Mus musculus: one gene and its partners. The protein of the gene in region 2 interacts with the protein of the main gene of each other region in a pairwise test. Links are inferred from orthologs where the notes say so. Each region holds a gene or a part of one and is shown on either strand. Other genes may lie near its edges. The genes, in order: Bysl, Golga2 and Tle5.

The links.
Region 1: the proteins of Golga2 (region 2) and Bysl interact in binary tests that used the Homo sapiens proteins (3 or more experiments, as listed by UniProt). The two-hybrid records come from large-scale screens. The link is inferred for Mus musculus from reciprocal best matches to the Homo sapiens genes GOLGA2 and BYSL.
Region 3: the proteins of Golga2 (region 2) and Tle5 interact in binary tests that used the Homo sapiens proteins (3 or more experiments, as listed by UniProt). The two-hybrid records come from large-scale screens. The link is inferred for Mus musculus from reciprocal best matches to the Homo sapiens genes GOLGA2 and TLE5.

Annotation. Positions count from the first base shown.
Region 1 is NC_000083.6:47,604,963-47,608,610, reverse strand, and holds part of Bysl (bystin), read left to right. Parts: intron 1-1,609; coding exon 1,610-1,772; intron 1,773-3,648. UniProt on the Homo sapiens protein: Required for processing of 20S pre-rRNA precursor and biogenesis of 40S ribosomal subunits. May be required for trophinin-dependent regulation of cell adhesion during implantation of human embryos.
Region 2 is NC_000068.7:32,291,253-32,294,900, reverse strand, and holds part of Golga2 (golgin subfamily A member 2), read right to left. Parts: intron 2,809-3,648; coding exon 2,686-2,808; intron 1,587-2,685; coding exon of another isoform or gene 1,506-1,586; intron 1-1,505. UniProt on the Homo sapiens protein: Peripheral membrane component of the cis-Golgi stack that acts as a membrane skeleton that maintains the structure of the Golgi apparatus, and as a vesicle thether that facilitates vesicle fusion to the Golgi membrane.
Region 3 is NC_000076.6:81,558,470-81,562,217, forward strand, and holds the start of Tle5 (TLE family member 5), read left to right. Parts: upstream 1-974; 5' UTR 975-1,172; coding exon 1,173-1,199; intron 1,200-2,749; coding exon 2,750-2,847; intron 2,848-3,748. UniProt on the Homo sapiens protein: Transcriptional corepressor. Acts as a dominant repressor towards other family members. Inhibits NF-kappa-B-regulated gene expression. May be required for the initiation and maintenance of the differentiated state.

The DNA of each region.
Region 1 (3,648 bases), on a different chromosome or scaffold from region 2:
ATTCATATGGCAGGCTATAGCTGTCTGTAACTCCATTTGCAAGGGATCAAATGCCATCTTCTGATGTCATTAGACACCAGGCACACTTGTGCACAGACATACGTGCAGTCAGCACTCAAACATTAAAAGTAAAATAAACCTAAAACAAACAACCTTGGCTCTCACTGGGTATGCTCTGTGTACTCTCTGGAGCTCTATATAATATACCCTTAGTCCACTTCCATAGCAACTGATCTGTTGCTATGGTAATAATTCAACTACTTTGGTTTATTAGACTCTTTCCCAACTGCCTTGCCAGCTATGTGCGGTATTTCAAAAGTCAGCCCGGTGTATTGGCACATGACTTTAATCCCAGCACTCAGGAAGTACCCAGCCAAGACTCCATGGTCAGGACCTCAGGATGTGGCAGGAATGGCTCAACCCACCTATCACCCAAGTGAGGACACAGAGACCTCTTATTAGTTATGAAAGCTTGGCCTTAGCTGCCTTGTTCCGAACTCGCTGATACAACATAATTGCTTTATACTAGTCTACATTCAACCACGGGGCTCGTTACTGCTCTTCAGTAACAGCACGTGTTTCTTCCTCTGTGTCTGGCTGTTGAGTCCCCTCACATCTGATTTCTTTCCCAGAGTTCCTATCTCTGCCCAGAAGTCCCGCCTATCCTTTCCAGCCCTGCTATGGGCCACTCAGCTTTTGATTAAACCAATCAGAAGGTGATGGAGAAGAAGTTTCCACAACACTGAGACAGGTGATGCTTCATTAAAAAAAAAAACCAATGCCGACTGTACTCAGCTCTCTGCTGGAACAAAGATTAACATGTGAATAGTACACAGGCAGCCTTTACATGGAACACACGGGATTAACCCAACATCAGAAGCTCAGCCTTCAGCACTGTGGTGCGTGTTTGGAAAGTGGAGGCGCGAGAACAAGGAACTCCCAAGTCATCCTCGACTACCTAAGCCAGTAACTTAAATGTGTTGGTTGATCAGAGTCCGAATGCCACTGCCCAGCCTTAGAGCCTTCCAGGTTGGCTTTCCGTTTCCTTTCTGGCTCCTTAGTGCCCAACACTCTAACAGCATTACTTTCCAGGACGTGGAGCATGCTCTTGCTCCCAGACTGCCCATCCAGAGCCTCCTCAGCCTCTGTACTCATCCAAGTGCCTGAGGTGCACACTGCCTCCACCATGGTTTTAGTTTCAGCACATGATGCAGTTCCACTGTGCAAGCAACATAGTGGGAAGTCAGGACCCACAGTGCCTACCTACTGTGGGCACATCAACTCTTCTGCCCCGGTTTGAACTGGGTATAGCAACAGTACCTATTCCTTGAGGTCATCTGGACAGACCAGGTTACATGTGTGTAGTATAGAATGGATCCTTCTTGGTCATTGAGGGGGGACATGTCATCCATTCACTGAGGGGACATGTCATCCAGTCTTTACTGGCCTTATCATCTCTCGCTTCGTGTGCTGTATTTTCTATCAAGATTCCAAGTCTCTGGGGACAAAAGGATAGTCCCTCTGCAGGTGTCCCTCCTGCTCCCTGGGTGTGCTGTACGTGGAATGGGGAACTGACTCACAAGCCCCTGCGGCTGGGATTATCTTGTAGGGCCGGGATTGCCACAGGATGGATCAGATGAGGAGGATGAGGAGTGGCCTACCCTGGAGAAGGCAGCCAAAATGGCCGGGGTGGACCACCAGGCAGAGGTGATCGTGGACCCTGAAGATGAGCGTGCCATTGAAATGTTCATGAACAAGAATCCTCCCGTGAGGTAAGGCTTAAAGGTTGGACCAGTGGGTCCTGGTAGAAAGTTCATCCAGACCACAGCTGTTGGTCTGACCATTGCCAAGAGTGGCCCCTGAACGGGAGTGACCCGGATTCCCCTTTGCCCATCTGATCTGGAACCTCTGGATTACCGGTTCCTTGTGATAGCTGGGGATCCGTTTAGTAGTGTTTATTCTTGGTACGTTACTCTCATAGCTTAGTCTTATTTTTTTTTAAGATTAATTTATTTATGTATGTGAGTACACTGTAGCTGTACAAATGGTTATGAGCCATCATATGGTTGTTGGGAATTGAATTTTAGGACTTCTACTCATTCTGGCCAACCCCACTCGCTCTGGCCCAAAGATTTATTTACTATACATAAGTACACTGTAGCTGGCTTCAGACGCACCAGAAGAGGGCACCAAATCTCATTACGGGTGGGTGTGAGCCACCATGTGGCTGCTGGGATTTGAACCCAGCATCTTCGGAAGAGCAGTCAGTGCTCTTACCTGCTGAGCCATCTCGCCAGCCCATAGCTTAGTCTTTAACTCAGGGTTTTCCATCTCAGTTACAGTGTTGGGGCCAATAGCAGCTATCTCTGACAAAATGTTCCCAGAGGGGTTAAAACTACCTCTGGGTAGAACCACAAACGTACCCCCATGTGTTATAAATGCTACTTCTAAACATGCAGTTATTTAGGCTGCCTGTGGTCAGATTCTTGGTTCCATTCAGATGGATCTGGCCTCATTGAGAGGACTGGGCTTAGGGCAAAGGGGCTCAACCAGTTTATTCTTCAGAGTGGGGTGTAGTACACCACTATCATTAATAGTACGGTGATGAGCAGCTTGGGTTCAGAGAACACAGGAGAACCCTGTCCCCTGAAGGTGTCTGACAGCTCTGAGAATGGTCATGGGGTGTGATGTGCCCCCCAAAGGCTCTCGGGCAGCACCTCATACCCAGTGGCTCTTGATCTGACAAACTTAGCAGAATGTTTTCTGCAGTTGCTATACGGAAGTGACAACATGGTGGAAAGGGGGACCGTGGGCACTCTTGAGCAGTGGCTGCTGGCATCTTCAGAAACCAGGCTAAGGGTCTTTGGGAACACAGCAATCAGGCCTTGTCACTTAAGGCACATTGAAGACGCTGCGAAGCACCCAAACTAGAAGTCGAAAGACTAAAATTTACCCTTTCCCTGAGAAAGTCTTAGGGCTTAGGAGAGTTGTTGGTTGGCCCTGAGTCTCGATTCCCCGGCCTGGGCAGTGCGGGGGAATAAAAGCACCTGCCACCAGTGTCATGCAGACCACAGGACACAAGTCTGGAAAGTGTCAGATTCAGTGCTGCTCGGCACAGAAAAAGACTGCAGAGAAACTTTTTCCCCTTGTGCTGGAAGCCAGAACCCAGGTCTCATCCTTGCTAGGCAAGTGCTGGGTGAGTAGGATAGGCTGGCCTTGAACTCACAAAACTCTGCCTGCCGCTGCCTTCTGAGCGCTGGGATGAAAGGTGTGCACCAGCGCTGCCTGGCACAGAGCTCCACTCTGCACTCAGAAGTTGCTCCCCGTTGTGTGAGCAGTGGGAGGTGAGCTTGAAGTAAACAGCCCTCAGGACCTGCTGGCTCTGGCTGAGAGTCGGGCCTGCTGCAGTCTTAGATTTTACCCTTCAGCTGACTGTCCAGGGGGGTCCTTTTACTTCCCCAGTTTACAGATGAGGAAACTGAGGCTTAGAGGAGTCAAGTGACGGGCCCAGGATCATACAAGGACCAGAAGAGCCGGAGCTGACTTCAGGGCCTAAGGGCCTAACGTCCCCACCACTCTGGCTCTGCGTCAGATGCAGAGACATCCAGGGCCCGTGCTCTGCAGCACTTTGAGGCGGCTAAATGGACA
Region 2 (3,648 bases):
AAACACAAGGAAAGTCTTCACTTCTGGACGGGGGGTGGGGGGTGGGGTGCTCTGGTGAGTATTTCCTGAAGGGGAAACCAGAGCCCGGGCTGTGTGAATCCATAGCACAACAAACACCAAATATGTGTCCCCCATTCCCATACACACAATGTGCCATTTCTGAGCTGAGTACTGAGGCCCAGCACCTGAGCAGACTGCAGCACCTGCCCAGCATCAGCTCTGTTAGCGGAAAAGAGCCAACGCCAGTCTGCGAGTCCCCAGAATAACAGGACATGGCCTTGGCTCAGACCACTCCTTCAGTTGGACAGAAGCCTGCTCCTTTTGTTTGGCACATGTCCCCTGGCACATGTAAACTGAAGTACTAAGTTATGTCCAGGAGGCCAACTCTCAGCCCTGCGACACAGGTCCTGTTGCACTTGGATGCTCCGTGTCTGAACTGTGCCTGCCTGTCAGCTCATCTTTCACCATCGAAGCAGCTACAAATGTCCCTTCCCCAGCCTCGAGTCCACTGGGAACCAGCGCTCCTGTCCCTATGTGAGGCATCCTGGAGGTCACGTGACTCTTGTCCTGTGCATCTAGTCTGCTATTGGCTTGAGACTGGCTCTCGAGATGCAGCCCAGGCTGGCTTGGGCTTGCCGTCCTCTTGCCTCAGTCTCTGGAGCGCTGGGCTCACAGGCATGGACTACTGCGCCTGGCTTGCTCATCTGTTTTGTCACTGTTTAGCAAAGTGCCTTTCCTATCAAGAATTCAGTCCACTGAGTTTTCAGAGAGACTGAGGGCAGCTTCTCCTGGTCACTCATTTGTTAGTTAAGTTTACATTTTTCGCAGTTAGTTTCTCTTCATTTTTTTTTTATTCAAGACAGGGTTTCTCTGTGTAGCTCTAGTTGTCCTTGAACTCACTTTGTAGACCAGGCATGGCCACTTCCTCCTAGACTCAGAGATCTGCCTGTCTCTATGCCTTCAGAGTATTGAGAATAGAGGCATGTGCCACCACTGCCTGTTGAGGGTTTCTTAGAAAAAAAAAGTCTTAATCCCAGAAACTATACAATAAATTCACTTTCTCATAACCTTATGTTCCTAAGTTTCAAACTAAAATGAGTTCATAAAAAAGAACCACAAATTTCTATGGTCTAGTTTTTTAGAGACAGATGCCCAGAGGACAAGACCTGAAAGGTGTTTTTGTGTTCCATCTGTCCCAGTCTGACAGTACCATGCTAGGCAGTCATAAACTCTAGTCTCATTCATAAACATCCGATCTGAAAGTTGTTTCCCCAGTTAGCTTTAACTTTCAAGGTGGGTCTCATCTTCTCTAAGATGAGAAATGATACAGGGAAAGAAAAGAACCCAATCAAGCAAGCAGTTGACAAAGCAGACACAGGAGCTGATGGTTAACTGAGGCAACACAAAGTGAGCCAGTGGCAGAGGGTCCCCAAAGCAGGGAGGCCTCTGTGGCATGCATGGCTGGGAGAGCAAGCCAGAGGGAGTCTCGCTCAGTACTGCCTCACCTTCCTCTTGTCTAATGGGGGGAGTGAGACCCCATTGGAACGGTTAAGGTCGGACACCAGCACCTTCAGAATGTCCTTAATCTACAGCAGGCAAGAAGGGAAAAAGGGGGGAGGAGGGAGGAGGGATGAGAGAGAGAGAGAGAGAGAGAGAGAGAGAGGGAGGGAGGGAGGGAGGGAAGGAGGGAGGGAGGGAGGAGGGGGGCAGGGAGGGGTGGGGAAGTAAGAAAGTCAGGGCAGGAAGAAGAGAAACAGTCAGGGAGATGGAACACTCAGGAGCACAGATCAATACCCAGGCCTGTGCCATCCTTCCAAGCAGCCACCTGCTGCCTTGTCAGAGGCAGCCCTCAGAGTAAGCAAGAGTCCCCAAGGGATGGAGTCAATACACCTGACCAATGCAGCAACTCAACATACACAAGACCCTTTCCACACACCCAGGATTACAGGGAGCAATCTGCAAAGGCCCCAGTCCCCAAGGCCACCTTAAAACCTGACTCTCAAATAAGACTTCACTTTTACACAGCTACAGTACAGCTAAAAAGAGAGTCTGTAAGACAATAAGCTAGTCCACCATCATCCTGTCAGATGAAGGAAGTGTGTGTGTGTGTGTGTGTGTGTGTGTGTGTGTGTGACTTTCCTGAGGTAACCCAGCAAGCTCACGACAATGATGGACTTAACACTCAAATCTCTTACAGATGGCTGCGTTTCAGAAGTATGAGAGCAATGATGTTCCCTCTGGTCTGATTTCTACCCCAAACCAAGAAAATCAAGCGGTACCTATTAGCTCACTGTTAACTCCACAGCAGACCCTCCACTAGGGGAATTAATAGAAAAACAACCGCAATAAACTTCACTTAATCTTTATAGATACACATTAAAAATATTACCGCTATTGTACAGCTATGTAAAAAGAGGCTCAGAGAGTTTAACCAACTTGCCCTAAAGTTATCATATTGCCAACTGATGGAGAGATAGAATTCAGACTCAGATTTAATTTTTCCTGTGCTGAGATAAAACCCAGGGCCATTGTGAGATGAGCCCTAGTTCATTACCATTGAACTAGGCAACAAGCCCTCAAAGCCAGACTTTTTAACCAGCACCTGACATTTCCACTTGAACCACAGCCCTCCCCGCTTCTTCCCACCTGCCCCCATTCCACAGGACTCTGTTGGCCAAGACTCACATTCTCTGGTGACTGACAGTCACTGGCAGTGGGTCTCTCTGGGCTATGGCCATTTTTAATCTTTTTCTTCTTCTTTGCTCCTGCAGGAACACCCGGGCTGTTCTTCTGCTGATACTCTCTCAGCTGTGGAAAGGAGAACAGAGAGAAATGAGAGCCATCTGCCTCACACTCACAGCCTCTACTCCAGCCTCTAGTTTATTGAGCTCTTTGCTTCGTGTTTCTGTATGTGCCATCTGAGTCAGTCTCACGTATCCCAGGCTGGGCACTAACTCACTATGTGGATGACTATGAACATCTGATCTTCCTGCCTGAACTTCTAAACGCACCAGGAGCAGGTGCCACCATACTTGGTTTCTACAGTCCTGGAAATCAGGCCTAGGCCCTTGTGCAAATTAGATTACAGAGTGGAATATTTCATGCCTGGTCTCTTTCTATGCTGTTTTTATAAAAATACTTTAAAAAAAATGTACATTGGTGTTTTGCCTGCATGTATTATCTGTGTGAGGGTGTCAGATCTTGGAGTTACAGGTAGTTTCAATCTGTCATGTAGGTGCTGAGAACCAAACCCAGGTCCTCTGGAAGAACACTTAGTGCTCTTATTTGATGAGCCATCTCTCCAGGGCCCGATAAAAATACTCTTATGTACGTAAGTCTCATGTAATGGTACCACGAGTCTACAAGATATAATAATGACCTCTTAATGGCAGAAGAAATGGCATGGCTAAAAAGGTAGTAATTGGGTTGGGAATGTAGCTCAGTGGAATACTTGGCTAGCATTCAAGAGGCCCTAAATTCCATTCCAGCAACATACACACATGCCCATACACATACACACAGAGGCAAACACGGAATCTAAACTCAAATCTTCTGATGCCCTGCTCTGGGGTTTGCAGCTCCCAAAGGGAAAAATCTAAAGGTAGAGACCAGAGAGTAAACATTTAGTTGGCAGGAATTGGCTGGGTG
Region 3 (3,748 bases), on a different chromosome or scaffold from region 2:
CGCCCGGCTCCTATTTATTTTTTATTATTTTTTAAGACAGGGCTCATGGAGCCCTGGCTGCCCTGGAACTCACAAGGTGGGCTTGAATTTACAGAGATCTGCCTGCCTCTGCCTCCCAAGGGCTTAGATTAAAGGCTTGTGTTACCACACCAGCATATTTGTTTTAATCATTTGTTTTTGTTTTGTTTTGTTTTGTTTTTGGACAGGTCTCACCTCAGTAAGCTGGGTCACAGGTTGATGCTGAATTTTCGATAATCCTCCTGCCTCAGCTTCCCAAGTGTTGGGATCACACTAGGACCTGGGGAACTCTTACCTTTTATTTATGAGACAGGTCTCTCTTTGTAGCCCTGGTTGTCCCAGAAGTCTCTATGTAGACCAGGCTGGTCTCAAATCAGAGATCCACCTGCCTCTGCCCTGAGTGCTTGGATTAAAGGTGTCGGCCACCACCACCTCCTGTGGCCCGATTTAACTTTTTCATGTTTTGAGATAAGGGCTCCTATAGCCCAGGCTGTATTCACTGTGTAGATCAGGCTGGCTTCCACCTACCTCAACCTACCCAGCACTGGTAATAGGTCTTGTACCCCAGAACAAACCATGTCTTACTTTTTGTTGTTTTAAGACAGGCTCTCTGGTAACCCAGGCTGGCCGAGAACTCTTGATCCTCTTGCCTCTGCACCCCAGTCATTAGATTACAGGACTGGGCCCCCATCCTACCTCTGTGGGACAGGTGTCACTCTACTGCCCAGTGTGGCCCCCAGCCGTGCCAACCCTCCCGACTCCAAAGAGGACATAGCACACTGTAGGCACTCCATAAATCCACCGTGAAGCCTGGGTGTCCAGGCTGCGAGTCTGTGGCCTTGGGACTGGGGGCGGGGGGCACTGAGGCAGGCCTCCAGCTGGGGTTCCGGGCCGTGGCGGGGGCGGGGCGCGCGGGGCCAAGGTCACGGGTGGGGCGTCCGGGCCTGCGCAGTGCCGGGCGCGGCAGGTGGAGCGGGAGCCCGGGCGGCACCGCGTCGCCATTACACAATAGCGCGGGCGGCGCGGGCGGGCGGCGGGCGGCGCAGGAGGCGGGACGCGGGGCCCCGGAGCTGTCGATCGGGGACAAAGCGCGGCCGCCCGGCGCCCCCCGAGCCGCCCGAGCCGGGGCGCAGCCCGCGCCCCCCGCGACTGACATGATGTTTCCGCAAAGCCGGCACTCGGTAAGGGGAACCCCGCGCACTGCACCCCAGAGCTCTCCCTGCACCCCCAGCTCAGCTCACTGCACCTCCGGCGCTCACCCTGCACCCCAGCTCATCTCACTGCACCCCTTCTAGGTCGGATCCCGTCTCTCTCCCCGCCCAGGGCCTGTCCCAGGGGCTCCCTACGCTTCCCCAGCTCCCACAGGCCTGTTCTGTCCCCCCAGCCCTGGGCTCTTCCCCAAGGTCCTTGCACCCCACAACCCAGACCCTACGCACCCCACCAGTCCAGCACTGCATCCTTCAGCCCGGATCCCTGAACTTTGATCCCTGCCCTGAGTCCCCTCACCGCCTCCCCCACACCTCGCCCAACCCGACTCCAAGGTCTTCTTCCACCCCCACCCCCCACCCCCGGGCTCCGGATCAGCCCGCACCCCACTGCAGCCGCATTCGGCCTGTCTTCCTGACCTGGGGCTCAGGCCCAGAGCTGCAGCACCCCAGTCACAAGCCCATCATCCCCTCACCCCAGACGCGCATGTCCTCCAGCCCTAGATCTTGCATCCCCACCTCGGTGCACCCCCCCCCCCCCAGGCCCAGCTCTCTAAGAGCTTCAGACTGGCCTGCCACCAAGTCCAAGGCCCTGCACCCACCATCACCTCGGCCCTGCACTTCTTTCCACCTCAGATCTGCCCTGGCCCCAAGTCTGGTGCCCTCTACCCCCCAATACAGTTCCCGCACCCCCTGTCTCTCTCTCCAGCCCTGTCGGGCCTGGCGTCACCATCCGGGCCCAGCGCCACCCCCAGCCTGGCTCCGCGTCCCTCCTCCAGCTGCAGGCCCCGCACCCCAGCGGCCTTCCTCCTCCCAGCCCCCATCCTGCACCCTCAGCACTAGGGTTGGGGAGACCCTGTGCCCGTATAATGTCCAGTGCTCCCTTGTCCGGAGCCGGATACCCCGCAGTCTTCCCACCCCCCGCCCCCCCAGCACTAGGCTCCGTCCCTCTCATGTCCAAGCCCATCTGTCGTCTCCCACACCAGCTCCCAGTGGCCTTGCTCCCCACACCCTGCCCCTAGCCTTGCTCCCCAGATCCGAGATCTTACACCCTAACTCCTGACCCAGTGCCCTCAGATGCCGGCCCTGTACATATCCCACCCCCCTCGCTCCCCAGCCCCCCAGCTTCCAGCTCTCCCTAACTCCCAGGCCATGATTTCTCTGTGGCTTTGGCTGGGGCCTGGGCAGCTTTGGGGGGGTCCCTTCCTGAAGAGCACACCCGTGAGGAAACAGGTGTGATGGGGGTACTCCCAGGAAATGTAGGGTGGTAAGTTAGGTGCCTCTTCCATGCCGGCTTTGAAGGGAGGCCTGTGCCACCCTGATTGACTTAGAGGGGCTTTCTGGGGAATTCCTCTGGGAGCATCTGGAGGACAGAGGTGCACCCCGCCCCATGGGTGCCCGCCCCTCCCAAATGACCAGTGTGTAAAAGTGTCCCCACTGCCTAGGGGCCTCACAGCCCCTTCCTGGCAGCCCAGGAAGTGGGGCATGGGCGGGGCAGGACGCCGCTCACCCTCCTGCCCCCGCAGGGCTCCTCCCACCTCCCTCAGCAGCTCAAGTTCACCACCTCCGACTCCTGTGACCGCATCAAAGATGAGTTCCAGCTGCTGCAAGCGCAGTATCACAGGTGAGCCCGGACCAGGGCACCTCCATGTGTCTGTAGAGTTGTCTGTGGCTTGAAGGAAGGCCGGGTGGGGGGTGCCTCTGTCATCTCAGGGCTCAGGAGGTGGGGCCAAGAGGGTCAGCAGTTCAAGGTCATCCTCAGCTACTTAGCAAGTTGGCCAGCCTGGGCTACATGAGGCCATGTGTCCAAAAACAATCAGCCCCATGGTGTGGAAGAAGAAAGTAAGGCATACAGCGTTCATGGTTCTAGAGGCCCAGTCCCTATGTTTAACACAGGCTAGAGTGGGTGCCCAGAGAGGGTGAGTAATCGGCTCAGGGTCACACAGCCCTACCTTCTTCTGTCCAATTTTGGAGTAGGGTCCCACAGACCCTCCAGCCTGGTCACTCCCACCACAAATACTTTTCTCATTTCTAATGGGTTCCTCATGTGTGAAACTGATCACCCCGAAGCCCAGGGTGTCAGCAGCTTCCGGGGTGTACAGCACAGACGCAGGAAAAGCTAAAGCTGAGCACGGGTCCCCATCTAACCTAGGCTGGGTTTGAGTGGGCTTGGGGATACAGGCAAAACCTTCCAGCTCTCACAGGCAGGTGAATGGAGTCGTTCTGGGCTAGCCTGAGGTACAGAGCAAACCTCTGTCTCAGAAAACAAACTAATAATAATGATGATAATGCCTTTATTTTTTATTTTTTTATATGTAAGTAGCTACACTGTAGCTGTCCTCAGACACTCCAGAAGAGGGCATCGGATCCCATTGTAGATAGTTGTGAGCCATCATGTGGTTGCTGGGATTTGAACTCAGGACCTGAGGAAGAGCAGTCAGTGCTCTTAACCGCTGAGCCATCTCACAGCCAATGACAAAACCTTTAAAAGACCCTTAGATTTCTCTAAGAAAAAAAAGTAAATC